Ovis aries: one gene and its partners. The protein of the gene in region 2 interacts with the protein of the main gene of each other region in a pairwise test. Links are inferred from orthologs where the notes say so. Each region holds a gene or a part of one and is shown on either strand. Other genes may lie near its edges.

Region 1 (5,304 bases), on a different chromosome or scaffold from region 2:
CTACTGAGCCCTTTGCCTAAGAAAACTCCTAAGAACCCCTTTGTCTTTTGAATACCCAGGCACCTAAATAAAACAAAAGCCTCAGTCTATGTTATTGAAATGCATAAATATGACCTGGTGGACTTTCACTGAATTTGGAAGGCATGTTGGGGATAGTTATTCTTATTGTTTAGACACTCAATTGTGACTCCATGGATTGTAGCCTGCCAGGCTTCTCTGTCTATGGAATTTTCCAGGCAAGAATACTGCAGTGGATTGCCATTTCCTTCTCCAGGGGCTCTTCCCGACCCAGGGATGGAACCCACATCTCCTGCATGGCAGGAGGCTTCTTTACCACAGAGCCATCCGAGAAGCCCATGTTGGGGATCTACTGCCTTAATATAAACTGTGAAAATATAATAATATAATATATACTGTGAAAATATAAACTGCGCATGTGTGCAATTAATCTCGGGGAGCCCTAGAGAGGTGTCAAGGAGTTGGGTCATTGTCTTCAAAGCAGTTGAAAGTGACAGACAAAGTGAGCCCTGTGTGACTTGCTTGTGGGGAGCAAGATGCCCTACATATCAAAATTCAGCGGGGCCGAGATAACAAACTGGTTTCCAATCCAAGCCTTAAATCAAAAGACTTTTGAGTGCATGTCAGGAGAAAAGTCCTTTCTGTCCCCACAGGTTTGAGATCTCTGGCTGAGAGCCCAGTTGGAAGACACTAGTTAGTTTGTTCTTTATTTTCATCTGAAAGTTACAGGGCTATTTATCAACAAAATGACTGTCCGGGCAGCAAAATCCAGTGGTTTCTATGTACAGGCCCATCCCTGGGGTCCACACCTCTGGAGGGGCCTCCTCCCCCAAGGCCTCAGTGGGCTTCTTCCCAGGCCTCTAGGAAATAATCACAAAGACACAGGGGATGAAAACCAGCCTGTCCCCAGCACCTGCTTTCGTCCCACAGGGAGGTGGCGGCTGCTGGTGGGGGAGCCAGGCCTAGTCTTGGGGTAGCGGGTGTGGAGGGCCTCTCTCTGGGGAGCCCGTCCTTCCCGCGCCCACCTCCTGGGCAGGCTCTCGTTGGACATTCCTGGGACTGCTCTGGCAGGCTCACGAGTTCCCACTCTAGCCTTCTTTTCTTTCACGTCGTGATTGGAACACTGTGGTGTCCCAGCCTCCCATTCTGGAGGCCACGGTTTGCACTGTGGAGCCTCTTCATTTGTCCCTGGTTTTTTTTTTTTTTTTTGTACAGAAACGACAATAGTCTGGATCCGACCTTTTTTTTCTTTTTCCCCGCTCAGGAAACAGAAGCGGCTCAACAGGTACAGTTCTGCTGGTCAATCTGCTTCCGGCAGGGTTCCATGGTGACAGCCACGCCCACCCCACTCCGGCCAGAGGTCATTCGGGTCACCTCGCTCCAGGTGTCTGTGTCTGGGTCATAGCACTCCACGCTGTCCAAGAATGTGTGACCGTCGTAGCCCCCTGCAGGGAGGGCAGGAGGGATGGTCGGTCACTACTCCAAGGGGGTGGGGGCTGGGGGCGGGCAGGAAGGAAGGAAGCATGTGAAGCCCTCCTACTGAAAGGGGCTGGGTGGGCTTCTCCGCCCAGGCCTCACCAAGAACGTAGATCCTTCCCTGGTGAACGGTGATCCCCAGGGCGCTTCGCCGATGCTTCATGGGGGCTACGAACGTCCACGTTTCTGTCTCCACGTCGTAGCGCTCTACACTGTTGAGCTGGTCCTGACCGTCGTAGCCCCCCGCAGCATAGATACAGTTGTGCAGGACGCAGACTCCTAGACCAGACGACACAGAGAGGATGACTCCAGGGCCTGGCCTTGGGGGCCCCAGCCATCACCTTCTTGGGGGGACACCCTCCCCTCTCCCGTCACCCGTCTCCCTTCCTCCCCTCCCATGAGGGGCCCTGTAGAGACAAAGCCAAGAGCAAGGAGCTCTACGAGGGTCACTCCCAGGGTGGGGAGGGTGCCCCTCCTTGCTCCCCTCCCCGCAGCCCCCTCCCACCTGCTCCGCTTCGGATGGTGTTCATGGGTGTGATCATCCGCCACTCGTTTCTCTCTGGGTAGTAACACTCAGCTGAGTTGAGGCGGTTTGTCCCGTCGAAGCCCCCGACCGCGTACAGCAGACGGTTGAGGACAGCCACTCCCACCCCAATCCTTCGTGTCAGCATCGGAGCCACCAAGTGCCACTCGTCCCCCTCCGGCTCATACCTGCCACAACAGAGCAGCAATGACGACAGCAGCCCCCGCCGACCCGAGGCACTGACCCACCAACACTCCACTGTGGTGTTGGTTTTTTTCTTTTTAATTTAAAAAATAATTTTATTTGGCTTTGCTGGGCCTTCCTGGCTGCACAGGCTTTTCTCTAGCTGCGGTGCGCAGGCTTCTTGCTGCGGCTGCTTCTCTAGTTGCGGAGCGGGAGCTCTAGAGCAGGTGGGCTTCAGCAGTTTCCGCTCCACGGCTCCCACAGCACTGGCTGAAGAGTTGTGGCGCACTGGCTTACAGCTGCTCTGAGGTACGTGGGCTCTTCCTGGACCAGGGATAGAATCCACGTCTCCTGCATTGGCAGGTGGATTCTTTACCGCTGCAACGCCTGGGAAGCCCCTTACCTGAACTCTTCAATTTTCACAAGGATTCCCTACAACGCAAGTTATCAGTAGCTCCGTTTTCTAGACAAGGAAACAGGTTCACGGCCCCCATCTGCTCAAGGTCGCCTGCACCTCTGCTGGACTCAAATGGCTCCATCAGACCACCGCCTAAGCTAAGTGTTGTATGAATGCAGGACACACAGGAGACACCAGTTCAGTTCCTGGCTCAGGAAGATCCCCTGAAGGAGGAAATGGCAACCCACTCCAGTATTCTTGCCCAGGAAATCCCATGGACAGAGGAGCCTGGCGGGCTATACAGTCCATGGGGTCACAGAGTCAGACACACAGAGTGAGCACACACGCAAACACAGGGTCACCATGCACAGCTGTACTGTACACAGACTGTGTACTGCACACGGGCACCACATCTAAGGGGGCACCTTCCACGTTAACGGACCTCATATGTGTGTTTCTTACAACCATTTGTGGATAGATAGCAGTCAGGTGTCATGTTTTAACGAAATTAGCATATTAACATTCTGACAGTTTCAAACTGATGGAACTTCTTCCAAATCTGCTAACACTCGTTGTATGGGTATGTGATGGCCCTGTAAACGGTTCCCAGGCCAGGACACATCATCCAGGGTCATGACCAAACATCCCCCAGGAGTTTAGCTTCACCTTGAGGCTTCCATTCCCTGAAGGCAAGGCACAAAGAAAAGCACTCAACAATTGAGGGAAGACGTCCCTGGAGGTGCAGTGGATAAGAATCCACCTACCAAGGCAGGGGACATGGGTTCGATCCCTGTGTCTTTAATCAGGAAGATCCATGTGCCGTGGAGCAACTAAGCCTGTGCCATAACTACTGAGCCCACAGGCTGCAGCTACTGAAGCTGGTGGACTTAAAGAGCTTGTGCTCCACAAGAGAAGCCACTGCAATAAGCCTGTGCACCACAACGAAAAGCAGCCCCGGCTCACAGCAACTAGAGAAAGGCTGCGTGCAGCAACAAAGACCCAGCACAGATGAAAATAAATAAGTATTTTAAAAGAAAGACAGGAGGAACCCTCAGATCCCAATGGCGGGGACGTGTGAGCAGCAGAACCCCCCGGATCCCACGCCTCCTGCCCCCACCACTCACCTCTCCACACTGTTGTGGTGGATACAGCCATGGGAGCCGCCAACGGCATAGATATGCCCGTCGATGACGCCCACCCCAATTCGGTTGCGGGGTACGCTCATGGAGGCGCAAGGCGACCACTGGTTGGTCATGGGGTTGTAGCAGTCCAGGGCACTGGAGTCGGTGTTACCATCAGGCGAGTTGTTGCGGCCACCCACGGCGTACAGCAGCCCACCCACCACACAGCCCGCCAGGCCGCTCCGGGGCACCTGCAGGTCTGCCAGCCGGAGCCAGGTGCCATCGCTGGGGTTATAGGCCTCCAGGTAGCTGAGCGACTGGCGGAAGTAGCCACCGGCCGTGTAGATGAGGCGGCCCACCTTGGGCGCCCGGCAGGGCATCACCTGCGTGGGCTTGTGCAGGGTGAGCTCCTGGAAGATCTTCACCAGGTAGTCCTTGCAGCGGGAGTCCGACTGCAGGATCTCACACTTCTGCAGCTGCATCTGCAGGAAGTGGGGCGTGAGCGAGTGGCAGCGCACAGCCCGCAGCAGCGCCTGCACGTAGAAGCGCCGCTGCTCGCAGTCATACTTGACCCAGTTGATGCAGGCGTGGAAGACCTCAGACTCGCAACGCACATTCAGGTCATCCCGGCTGATGAGGGTTGCCAGCTGGCAGTGGGACAGGTTGAAGAATTCCTCTTGCTTGGCCACCTGCAGAGGGCGACAGTGCCATGGGCTGACTTAAGGTCTCTCTCCACTCCCACCTGCCAGGAGCCAGCACAGGAGATCCCACCCATGACAAGGTCATGAGGAGAGACCTGACAGGCAAGGAGGATCAGGACTCGAGGGACTCCTTGGACCTGCTCGAGCATCTACCCAGATAACAAAATCTGTCTACCGTTTACTATATTATGCCTTTCACTTACTCGTCTGGCATTAACAGGGGCTATCCCCGACCACCTTTCTCTGGAGAAAATCAACTTAGGGCTCTAGTTGATAAGTCTCCTGGGCATGAAAGGAATATTTCAATTCAAACCTCTCTGTTAGCATTCTAACTTGCGTGGCAGGTTTATCCATACTCTTAAAACTAACGCACATACATGATTGTTCACAATTTCCCAACCATGAAAGGCAGGGGAACTTAAACATTCTAAAGTCCTAATAGGCATAGAGCCCTTTGAGGAGCAAAAATTATTAGAATAGTGCTGGTGAAGGATTTCATTGTTGAGCCAGTGCTTGCTGCCAAGTTTCCATATCCCTTACCCATTGTGTGCCTGGGAGTATACTAGTTAATATAGTTGGTATGTAGGGAAAATAAGTAGTAGCCTTGGTGTTAGCAACATTAGACCTTTGAGTTAATAAATTTTTTCTTTGTTATAACCCACTGCACCTTTGTCCCATAGGAATGTAACTTTATTTAGTACTTTCTGAGAGTGGTGCCGGACTTTAGAACAAACACTTTTAGAGAAAATAAGTTTTCTAGTTGACTAACCTTTATCAGAAAAAAGGGTCATAAAATGTTAACAGGCCTCCAGGCCAGAAGAGGATGTAAATCACATAAGACCTTTGTATATAGAAAGGTATGCAGAAAGAAAGCCTGGTTTCAAT
Region 2 (4,873 bases):
CAGGGAGTGAAGGAGCTGGTCCCACTCCTTTGGGCTGGGACGTCAGAAAGGCTTCTCGAAAGTAAGACCTAAATGTGAGAAAGTAGAGAAGCAGGGAAGGAACATGCCCAGCAGAATGAACAGGTGCAAAAGGCTTTGAAATACGAATGAGTGTCATGTCTTTGGAGAGGGTAAAAGAAAGCCCTGGGGCAGAGGGTAGGGAGCTGGCAGGGACTGTGGCTGGGGCCAGGCGGCAGGGCACAGGGCCTTGTCAGCCAAAGTAAGGAGTCGCTTTCAGTGTGGCACAGTTGGGTGGGGTGGCATTTAAGGGGGTTAAGAATAGAATGATTACCTGGTGAGTGGGGGAGGGGATAAGGGGCAGAGTGGGTAAGGCAGGAGGGCCCAGGCTCTGCTGGAGACAGTGGAGCTTATGCCTCGGGGGGCCTCAGCTTTCAGAACCTGGGGATCCAGTGTGTAAAGAAGCGGGACTTGGAGCAGGCCATCAGCCAGCGCATCCAGACCAACAACAACCCCTTCCAAGGTGAGGGCGGCCACGGTGGAGGCTTGGGCCTGCCTGGAGCACCTCCAGCTGCTGTACCCTTCTGAGGCCACCTTCCCGTCACGTGTCCCTCACCGGCCAAGATGCGGTGCCCATTCATTACATACACCTGTTCAGTACATTCTACCATTGGAGAAACAGACTGAGAGCAGGGGTGTAGGGGACAGGACATTCAGGGTCACAGGTGGAGTCAGTGATGGGTCTAGAACATTCCCACCACCCTCTTCTAGGACTCCTGCTATTTCACACACCTTCCAACAGCCCTCCCAGCCCAGAGCTACCCGCACACCCTGCTCCGCCCCAGCCCCACCCCCAGCCCAGGCTCTCCTGACCATCGGTTTTTCTGACAGTTCCCATAGAAGAGCAGCGTGGGGACTACGACCTGAATGCCGTGCGGCTCTGCTTCCAGGTGACAGTGCGGGACCCGGCAGGCAGGCCCCTCCGCCTGGCGCCTGTCCTCTCTCATCCCATCTTTGACAACCGTGAGTGGTCAGGGAGCCGCATGAAGGGGAGGGGGGTGGGCCTGTGAGGAGGAAAGGAGAGGTGGGGAGGGGTGACCTGCAAGAGTCGCTCTGACTTCGTCCAGTCACCCAACGTATCAGTCATCCCCTCTGTGCCCAGCACTGTGCTGACCAAAAAGACAAGGCAGAGGAGACGCAGAGCTGCCCTTGAGGTGCAGCGTCCAGGCTGGCAGGGAGTCAGATGGGAGATAGGCATTTCCAGCCCATGACGAGAGGGTGGTGTGCCCAGAACTGTACTGAGGACTCCAGGAAATGAACTTCCAGGAACGAGATAATGTTAGAAACTAAGAATTCAATGAGGAAAGCTCACAGGAAGTTTACAGATGGATTGGGCTGACATTGGTCAACTGCAGTTTAAAAGTAGCCAGTAGGATACGTGAAAATAAAAAGGCTTTGGAGCCCCAAGGCCAGAAAACCAGGATGAACCAGTGTGTGTGGGGGTGGGGGGCTCAGGAGGGAAGGATTCATTGCCAGAGCGTGTATGAATGGGTCTTGAATACTGCCTGGGTCAGGTGGAGAAACAGCAGTTGTGATCGCTTTGGTTCTCGTAGGACTGTATGCTTCATGATGGCAGAGATGTTTACCTTTTGTGCGTGGTTATGTTCTTCAGGCCTAGAGCAGAGCTGGGCATGGAGTAGGTGCCGGCAGAGTTGCTGAATTGGTTGGTGTGAGGAGCCAATGGGAATGGTTGAATCTTGGCTGCAGAGGTGTAGTCAGCAAATTCTAGACAACCTTGACCCTGGGCTGGGCAGGAGCCGCATTTTCCTGCAGGTCAGCCCGGGAGACTGCCGGTGGTTCAGGGCTTCCTTCCTTATTCCCACACCTTCAGGCGCCCCCAACACCGCTGAGCTTAAGATCTGCCGGGTAAATCGGAACTCTGGGAGCTGCCTCGGCGGGGACGAGATCTTCCTGCTGTGTGACAAGGTGCAGAAAGGTACACAGCCAGAAGGAGGGCTGGACCCAGGAGCAGGAGGCAAGGGGCAAGGCTGAGCAGACACACTAAGTGTTAAGGAGCTGGTTTAAGCACTGTCCCCAACTCTTTGGGGACAGCAGGGCCATGCATCTCTAGAGACTAGTATCGGCAATTGCAGGGGGCGGCGGGCTGGGGAAGCTGAGCACCCACACGGCCGCCCTGTCTCCTGCAGAGGACATCGAGGTGTATTTCACGGGACCAGGCTGGGAGGCCCGAGGCTCTTTTTCACAAGCTGACGTGCACCGGCAAGTGGCCATCGTGTTCCGGACGCCGCCCTATGCGGACCCCAGCCTGCAGGCCCCTGTGCGTGTCTCCATGCAGCTGCGGCGGCCTTCTGATCGGGAGCTCAGCGAGCCCATGGAATTCCAGTACTTGCCAGACACAGGTACCCAGCTGGGCAGGGCAGCAGCAGGGCTGTGGGCTCCAGCCGGTGGGAGTGAGGCCGGGCTGGATGCCACAGCTGTAGGTGAAGGTCAGAAGCTGGGGTTGGGCAGATTTCCATAGTAATCAGATTCTTCTTCTCACCTCATTTAATAGTGGTGCCCAAGACTTACTGAGCTCTTGTGATATGTGTGGCCCTATTCCAGGCATATCAGTGAATTACCTGATTTTATTCTCTCATGAACCTTTTGAGGTGGGAGATAGCATCTAACTTGCCTTAGGTCACATAGCTAGTGAGTTATAGACCCAGACCTCATTTGAACCCAGGCCATCTGGCTTCTGGGACCTGTTGCCACAGTGTATCTATACTTATCACCACCACACAGCCATGCTGTGGTCAGGGCTTTCGGGCATCTGCTCAAATAGGAACAGCCAAAGTGATCCTTTATCTGAAGCCTGTCATCCAGCCTGAAAGTGTGTCCTGCCCTGGGACCTGTTTAACAGTCTGGAAAACAAGGCCTGAAACAGCCATCAGTTCATCCCACCAGATGAGGACTGAGTGTCCACTTGGCACCAGGCTCTGCGCCAGGTATCATCAATCCAAAGATGGATAAGACACGTTCCCTGCCCTTTGGGAGCTCGGTCACATGAGGAAGGCACACATGCAAAACAGCAGCCTGTGTCACAGAATGACGCGTGAAGCAGCGAGGTGTGTGCAGAATACTGTGGGAACTGGAACCGGCCGCGTGGAGGAGGTAGCATTTAGATTGGAGAAAGACCCAGAAGCGCATTCTCTAGGCGGGTGGAGCAGAAGGGCAGGGAACGGGCACAGCACGTTTGGGGACAGCTTTGTGGCAAGAGTTCACGTCGTCGGGTAGTGAGCAGGCTCCGGCAGAAGGGCCTTGAAGGCTGGACTTGCGTTCATCTGGGGTCACATCCTAAGGCCTCGGGAGCCACCAAAGGTTTCTGAACAGAGAAGTGACGTGAGCAGGTCTGGAAGCAGCGTGCAGAGCATCTGAGAGGGGGGACATGGGGTGGGGAGGTTTCGGAAGATGTTCCGGTCGTTCCGGGAGAAAAGGTGCTGTGTGAACCTCACAGACAGAACGCACGAGACCGTCTCACCCACTGCAGGCCTCCTCCAAGACCCTGAGCCCAAGGGCCCTTTGTGTCCTCCTGGGGACCTGTGCTCTAGCTGTTGCCTCTGCTCGAAACGCTTGGCCCCCAGATCTTCACACGGTGGGCTCACACCGGTGCTTCCCTGGACCCCTCGACCTTACCTCTGGCGCTGTTACTCGCCCTGGTCTCCTCCTCAGCTCCTATCACTTGTGTCAGTGCCCCTCTGTCCCTTGGATGTCACAGCTTTGGGGAACAGGAACCTTGTCTGCTTATTCAGGGCCATACCTCCAGTGGCTCTAATGGAGCCTGGCACGCAGATGCTTGGTGAACATGTGTCTAGAGGGTGAATGGTGGGGAGTGAGAAAGAGGAAGCTGCTGAGGATGTGTCCAAGGTTTGGGAACAGGGCAAAAGAGGTAGGGCGGGAACACCAAAGGGGAGGGAACCAGGATCAGGTGCTTGAGGTGAGACGGTGAGGTTGGCTTTGGGCTCTTGACGTCAAGTGCTTTGGGCTTCTCCAAGTGCTGCAGTAGTTAGAGAGTTCGGAAAGCTCCAGACTAAACTCAGAAATGATCAGAGAGAAGGTTAAGAGTCTGTTGAAGTCTTAAGCCAGCCTGTCATGCTCGGGCTGCCCCAGAAAGCAGAGCGCGCAGCACCAGGCCTGGTCAGGGCTGGACGGGAGCAGGGACGTCAGCAGTGCAGGTGAGAGAAGCCTGAGGTGGGACCCTGCGACGGCTCCTGGCTCCTGACTTGGGGTCACCTGTGTGGCCTTTGGAGGCCACATTCAGCTAATGGAGGTCTCAAAAAGTCACGGCATTCTTATATTCGTGGAGTGTCACAGAGTCGTGCAGCTGTTCTCACTGGGTGAGGTTTAGAGAAAGGTTCTTAGAAAAAGGTTTGTCTTCTCGCCTACCTCCTGAGAGTCCTTTGGGAACTTTGGGGGTCCACTGGTACAAGCAGGACCCACTTCCCTCCATTACTTTCCCAGATGATCGTCACCGGATTGAGGAGAAGCGCAAAAGGACATACGAGACCTTTAAGAGCATCATGAAAAAGAGCCCTTTCAATGGTAAGAGGGGGCGGCGGGAGAATCAGAGAGCAGTGGGCAGGGAGGGGACCCTAGACACCAAGAACTGACCCAGCCTTCACCCCACAGGACCCACCGACCCCCGGCCTCCAACCCGGCGCATCGCTGTGCCTAACCGCGGCTCAGCCTCCATCCCCAAGCCAGGTGAGGATTTCCTTAAGGTCGTCACACTGGAACTGTAGGCTCAAATCTGTTCGATCCATGGTTTCCAAACCTCTTGGAGAGAGTCGAGCAGTCTCACCAGCAGGTGTCTGAAACC
Region 3 (4,299 bases), on a different chromosome or scaffold from region 2:
TCCCCACCTGACGTGGGGAAACCCCAGGGCTGGAACTTCCCCTCCTGTCCGCCCCAGGTTAAGGCTCTTTATCCCCCACCCCAGGCACACATTTTCTGCACTGCACAGTCCTCCCCGCAGAGGCACACACAGGAGCGGGGGCCCAGCTCAGGCTCCGTCCCAGCCCTGCAGAATGGCCTCTGGCTGTCCCGTGGAGAGCAGCAGGACAGAGCGCTGCCCTGTCTCCTTGCTCCTTTTCCAAGAGCTTCTGTCTCCTCTCTTTTGGGAGGTGTTCATGAGGGGACAGAGGGTGACCCCACCCCTGCCCTCTCTGCCCTCCCCATGAAGGGGGCAGAGGTGGGGAGCCCAGCCCTGGAAACCACCTCTGTGCTACCCCAGCGGCTTTCAGTTTGGCTTTGAGCTGCAGCTGCCTGGTGGGGGCCCCAGGGGGCCAGAGGGGAGCGGGGTGTGGGCAGGGTGGACAGGAAGGACCTTGTCCCGTCAGCACCCTGCCCACATTCTCACTCAGCCAAGGCCCTCCCAAAGGCCAGAGATGGGAACTTGGAGCTTCCACCCTCAGGATCCTGGCTTCCCGCAGCAACCCTCACTTCCTGGCCCAAACTCTCACTTCCTGCACCTACCCTCTGGGTGGCAACTTAGACACTGATGTGTTCTTCTAACCCCAGAACCCCAGCCCACTCTGTCTGGCCTGAGCCCTGACCCCAAACCTTGCCTGTGCCTCCCAGGCTGATCCACCTGGCAGTGATTCACGAGGCCCCTGCCGTGCTGCTGTATTGCCTGGCTCTGCTGCCCCAGGAAGTCTTGGACATTCAGAACAACCTTTACCAGGTGGGTGGAGATGATGGGCTGAGCCCAGATACCTATGTCTGCCCCAGCAGCCATCCCCAGCCACCAGACAGCATCCTTTGGCTGCTCCCTCAGGGAACCATATACCAGACACTGGGCAAGAAGCTGAGGACAGAGAGACAGTAGGAATCAGACTCTGCTCACCAGGTGCTCCAGCCAGGGCTGGAGGACTCGTGTCAACACCTAATGGCACAGCGTGGTGACGAGAGTCGTGATAGAGACACATGCCAGCTGCTGTGGGAACCACTGTCTGTGGGAAGCAGCCAGGGAAGGTGTTAGTACAGGACATGATGTCTGCAGGGAGCATTCAAGGAGGAGTGTGCCGAGCAGAGCCTGCTCGATGCCCCTGTCGCCTCCCCCTGAGACCTCAGCCCCTCACCCAGGATAACAGGGCTCCCCAGAGGATGAGAAGCTGGATTCTGCTCCCACCATCACACCCTATCCCTCCCTGCCCCGGCTCTGTCCTTTCTCCAGGGTGGGGGGGCAGGGCCGGCACTAAGGGGACTTAAGAATAGCAGAGGGCCGCCTGCCTTACCCTGCCTCCAGAATTGGGGCCCCAAGAGTTTGATAGGGCACAACAGAAGGAAGACCAGGGCCCACAATTCCCATGCTGCTGGCAATTGCCGTGCCCACCCCAGCAGGTTCCCAGAGGTTGCAGCATGTTGCAGCCACCCTGTGACCCTCTCTCTGTGCCTGCAGACAGCACTTCATCTGGCTGTACATCTGGACCAGCCAGGTGCAGTGAGGGCCCTGGTGCTGAAGGGGGCCAGCCGGGTGCTGCAGGACCGACATGGTGACACAGCCCTGCATGTGGCCTGCCAGCGCCAACACCTGGCCTGTGCCCGCTGCCTACTCGAGGGGCAGCCAGAGCCGGGCAGAGGAACACCTCACTCCTTGGACCTCCAGCTGCAAAACTGGCAAGGTACAGGTGGCCGCAGGGCCTGTGGGAGGAGGAGGGGATAGGAGACAGGGACCCCACTCTCAGGGAAGGGAGGGCCACAGCTTGTCTATTGATGCATCTCCAGTTCTAAGCACATAGGTACTCAGAATACCTTTGTTGAATGAAGGAGTGAATTAATGAATGGATTCTGGTTAGAATTTATGGAGAACCTATTATATGCTAAGCAGAGAGCTCAACTTTGCCCTCAAGATGTACGGTTTGGGGGGCTTCCCTAGTGGCTCAGTGGTAAAGAATCCACCTGCCAGTGCAGGAGACATGGGTTCAATCCCTTATCCAGGAAGATCCCATATGTCGTGGAGCAACTAAGCCCAAGCGCAACAACTGCTGAGACTGTGCTTTAGAGCCTGGGAGCCACGACTACTGAAGTCCGTGTGCCCTAGAGCCTGTGCTCCACAGCAAGAGCAGCCACCGCCATAAGGAGCCGTAGCACTGTAACTAGCAAAGTGACCCCGTTCACCGCAGCTGGAGAAAAGCCCGTGCAGCGAAGACCCCAGCACAGCCAAAAACAAATCAATACATAAAATGATTAAAAAAAAGAACAAAGACATTCAGTTCGGCAGAGATTAGATGAACTCGTTAATTCATTCATCAAAAATGTACTGAGAACTTTCTCTGTACCAGACATTATTGTAGGAGCCAGACTTGCATCTGTGACCAAAACAAGATAATGTCTGAGGCAAACAATAGCCATAAGAAGTGAGTTCTCTGGCAGGTTAACAGGCAGTCACTGCTGTGGGGATGGGAGAGCTAGGTGAGGGGACTGAAGTGGGGGCGTGGGGCTTGATGGGATTTGTAGTCTTTGTGCTAGCTCCTTGCTGGCCTGGGTGCCCCTCTTCTTAAACAACTCAATGCAAATTCACATCCTTCATCTCTTTCAAGTTTCTGCTCAAACGTCCCTGCTCCATGAGGGTCTCCCTGACCACTCTGTTTAAAAATGAACTAATGAATTAATTCGTTCATTCATTAATTCAAGGGCTGGGGGCCTGAGGATCCCTAGAGCTCTGAGGAAGGTAACTTTTAGAAGGGGCCTGAAGGCAGGTAGAGTTTTACAAAAAGACTGTGTGTGTGTGCGGACAGGGGAGGCAGCATGTGGTGGGGGAGGGTGTGTGTATGGGGGGGTGTCACTCAGCAACCTGACTCCCGAAGCGTGGTGTATGGGGGGGTGTCACTCAGCAACCTGACTCCCGAAGCGTGAAAGTTTCAATAACATGACTGAAAAGGTGGAAACTTTGAGTTCCTTTCCCCCCAGACTTTTGAGGGGTTTTTTGGGTTTGTGTTTTAACAGTCTTGTGATCAGGGGCACTGAGTAGGCAGGGATGGGGCGGGGGAGTCCCTTGGGGCTGAGGGGTAAGGGAGGTCCCTGAAGAAAGGGAGAGCGAGCTGGTAGATGCAACCCTCATCCTCACCCCATCTCAGGTCTGGCCTGTCTCCACATCGCCACCCTGCAGAGGAACCGGCCACTCATGGAACTGCTGCTTCAGAACGGAGCTGACATTGATGTGCAGGTGAGGTAGCCCATCAGAGAGCTGCCGGGCCCAGGGCCTAGGCATGGGGCCCCTCTTCTTAGAGGCATGCCTCCTCTGAGGGCCTTGGCTGATATCTTTCTTCCCCCCAGGAGGGCACGAGTGGGAAGACAGCGCTGCACCTGGCTGTGGAGACCCAGGAGCGGGGTCTGGTGCAATTCCTCCTCCAGGCGGGGGCCCGGGTGGATGCCCGCATGCTCAATGGATGCACGCCTCTGCACCTGGCTGCGGGCCGGGGCCTCAGCAGCATCTCGTCCACCCTGTGCGAGGCAGGTGCCGACTCCCTGCTGCGAAACGTGGAGGATGAGACTCCCCAGGACCTGGCTGAGGATGTAAGAGGCGGACACTCAGCTCTGCTGTCCAGGGCCTCCCACATCCCTAGTGGAGACAGGAGCTATCACAGCTGAAGGGGCCAAGGAGTTAGGAGCCTGGGGTTGCGATCCACGACTCTGCCACTCTCTCAGCCTGTGTCCTAAGGACCCGGGGCCCGAACCTGGGACTCCTGCAGGAGCCATGCAGCTAACGCGGGCTGGGTATGGACAGCCAGGTGCTGGGGCCTGCCGGAAACCAGATAGTCTTTTGTCTGAGGGTCACTCGCTCTACTCAGCTTTAGCAGATTCTTGCAGAGGAGGAAGACAGGCCCAGTATTTCTAGATCTTGGATTTTTTTTTTTTTAAGAGAGATGAAACCTAGATTTTCTGTAGAGTCTTTCCCATTTTTAAATATATGATGTAAAAAGAAAATCAACATATTTTGTGAGTGCCCTTTCCCACCCTCCACTCCCAAAACGAAAGCAAAAACAGGACCCAGTTGCCCTGAGGAACCACTGTTTTGGGGATTAGTAGGAAGATTTGCTCCCTGATTTCTTTCAGGGATCGCTTGGTGGGGAGGAAAGGGCCTAATGGGTCTCTCAGCTCCCTTCCCCCACTGCCACCTCTGTCCATGGGCCCTAATCTTGCTTCTCTCCAT

What was found.
Region 1: the proteins of RELA (region 2) and KEAP1 interact in binary tests that used the Homo sapiens proteins (3 or more experiments, as listed by UniProt). The link is inferred for Ovis aries from reciprocal best matches to the Homo sapiens genes RELA and KEAP1.
Region 3: the proteins of RELA (region 2) and NFKBIE interact in binary tests that used the Homo sapiens proteins (3 or more experiments, as listed by UniProt). The link is inferred for Ovis aries from reciprocal best matches to the Homo sapiens genes RELA and NFKBIE.

What each region holds. Positions count from the first base shown.
Region 1 is NC_056058.1:12,860,287-12,865,590, forward strand, and holds the end of KEAP1 (kelch-like ECH-associated protein 1), read right to left. Parts: intron 4,408-5,304; coding exon 3,722-4,407; intron 2,206-3,721; coding exon 2,000-2,205; intron 1,774-1,999; coding exon 1,418-1,773; coding exon of another isoform or gene 1,297-1,417; 3' UTR 699-1,296; downstream 1-698. UniProt on the Homo sapiens protein: Substrate-specific adapter of a BCR (BTB-CUL3-RBX1) E3 ubiquitin ligase complex that regulates the response to oxidative stress by targeting NFE2L2/NRF2 for ubiquitination.
Region 2 is NC_056074.1:40,275,727-40,280,599, reverse strand, and holds part of RELA (transcription factor p65), read left to right. Parts: intron 1-428; coding exon 429-520; intron 521-888; coding exon 889-1,020; intron 1,021-1,888; coding exon 1,889-1,993; intron 1,994-2,204; coding exon 2,205-2,417; intron 2,418-4,515; coding exon 4,516-4,596; intron 4,597-4,683; coding exon 4,684-4,758; intron 4,759-4,873. UniProt on the Homo sapiens protein: NF-kappa-B is a pleiotropic transcription factor present in almost all cell types and is the endpoint of a series of signal transduction events that are initiated by a vast array of stimuli related to many biological processes such as inflammation, immunity, differentiation, cell growth, tumorigenesis and apoptosis.
Region 3 is NC_056073.1:17,747,437-17,751,735, reverse strand, and holds part of NFKBIE (NF-kappa-B inhibitor epsilon), read left to right. Parts: intron 1-725; coding exon 726-828; intron 829-1,545; coding exon 1,546-1,768; intron 1,769-3,223; coding exon 3,224-3,312; intron 3,313-3,422; coding exon 3,423-3,662; intron 3,663-4,299. UniProt on the Homo sapiens protein: Sequesters NF-kappa-B transcription factor complexes in the cytoplasm, thereby inhibiting their activity. Sequestered complexes include NFKB1-RELA (p50-p65) and NFKB1-REL (p50-c-Rel) complexes.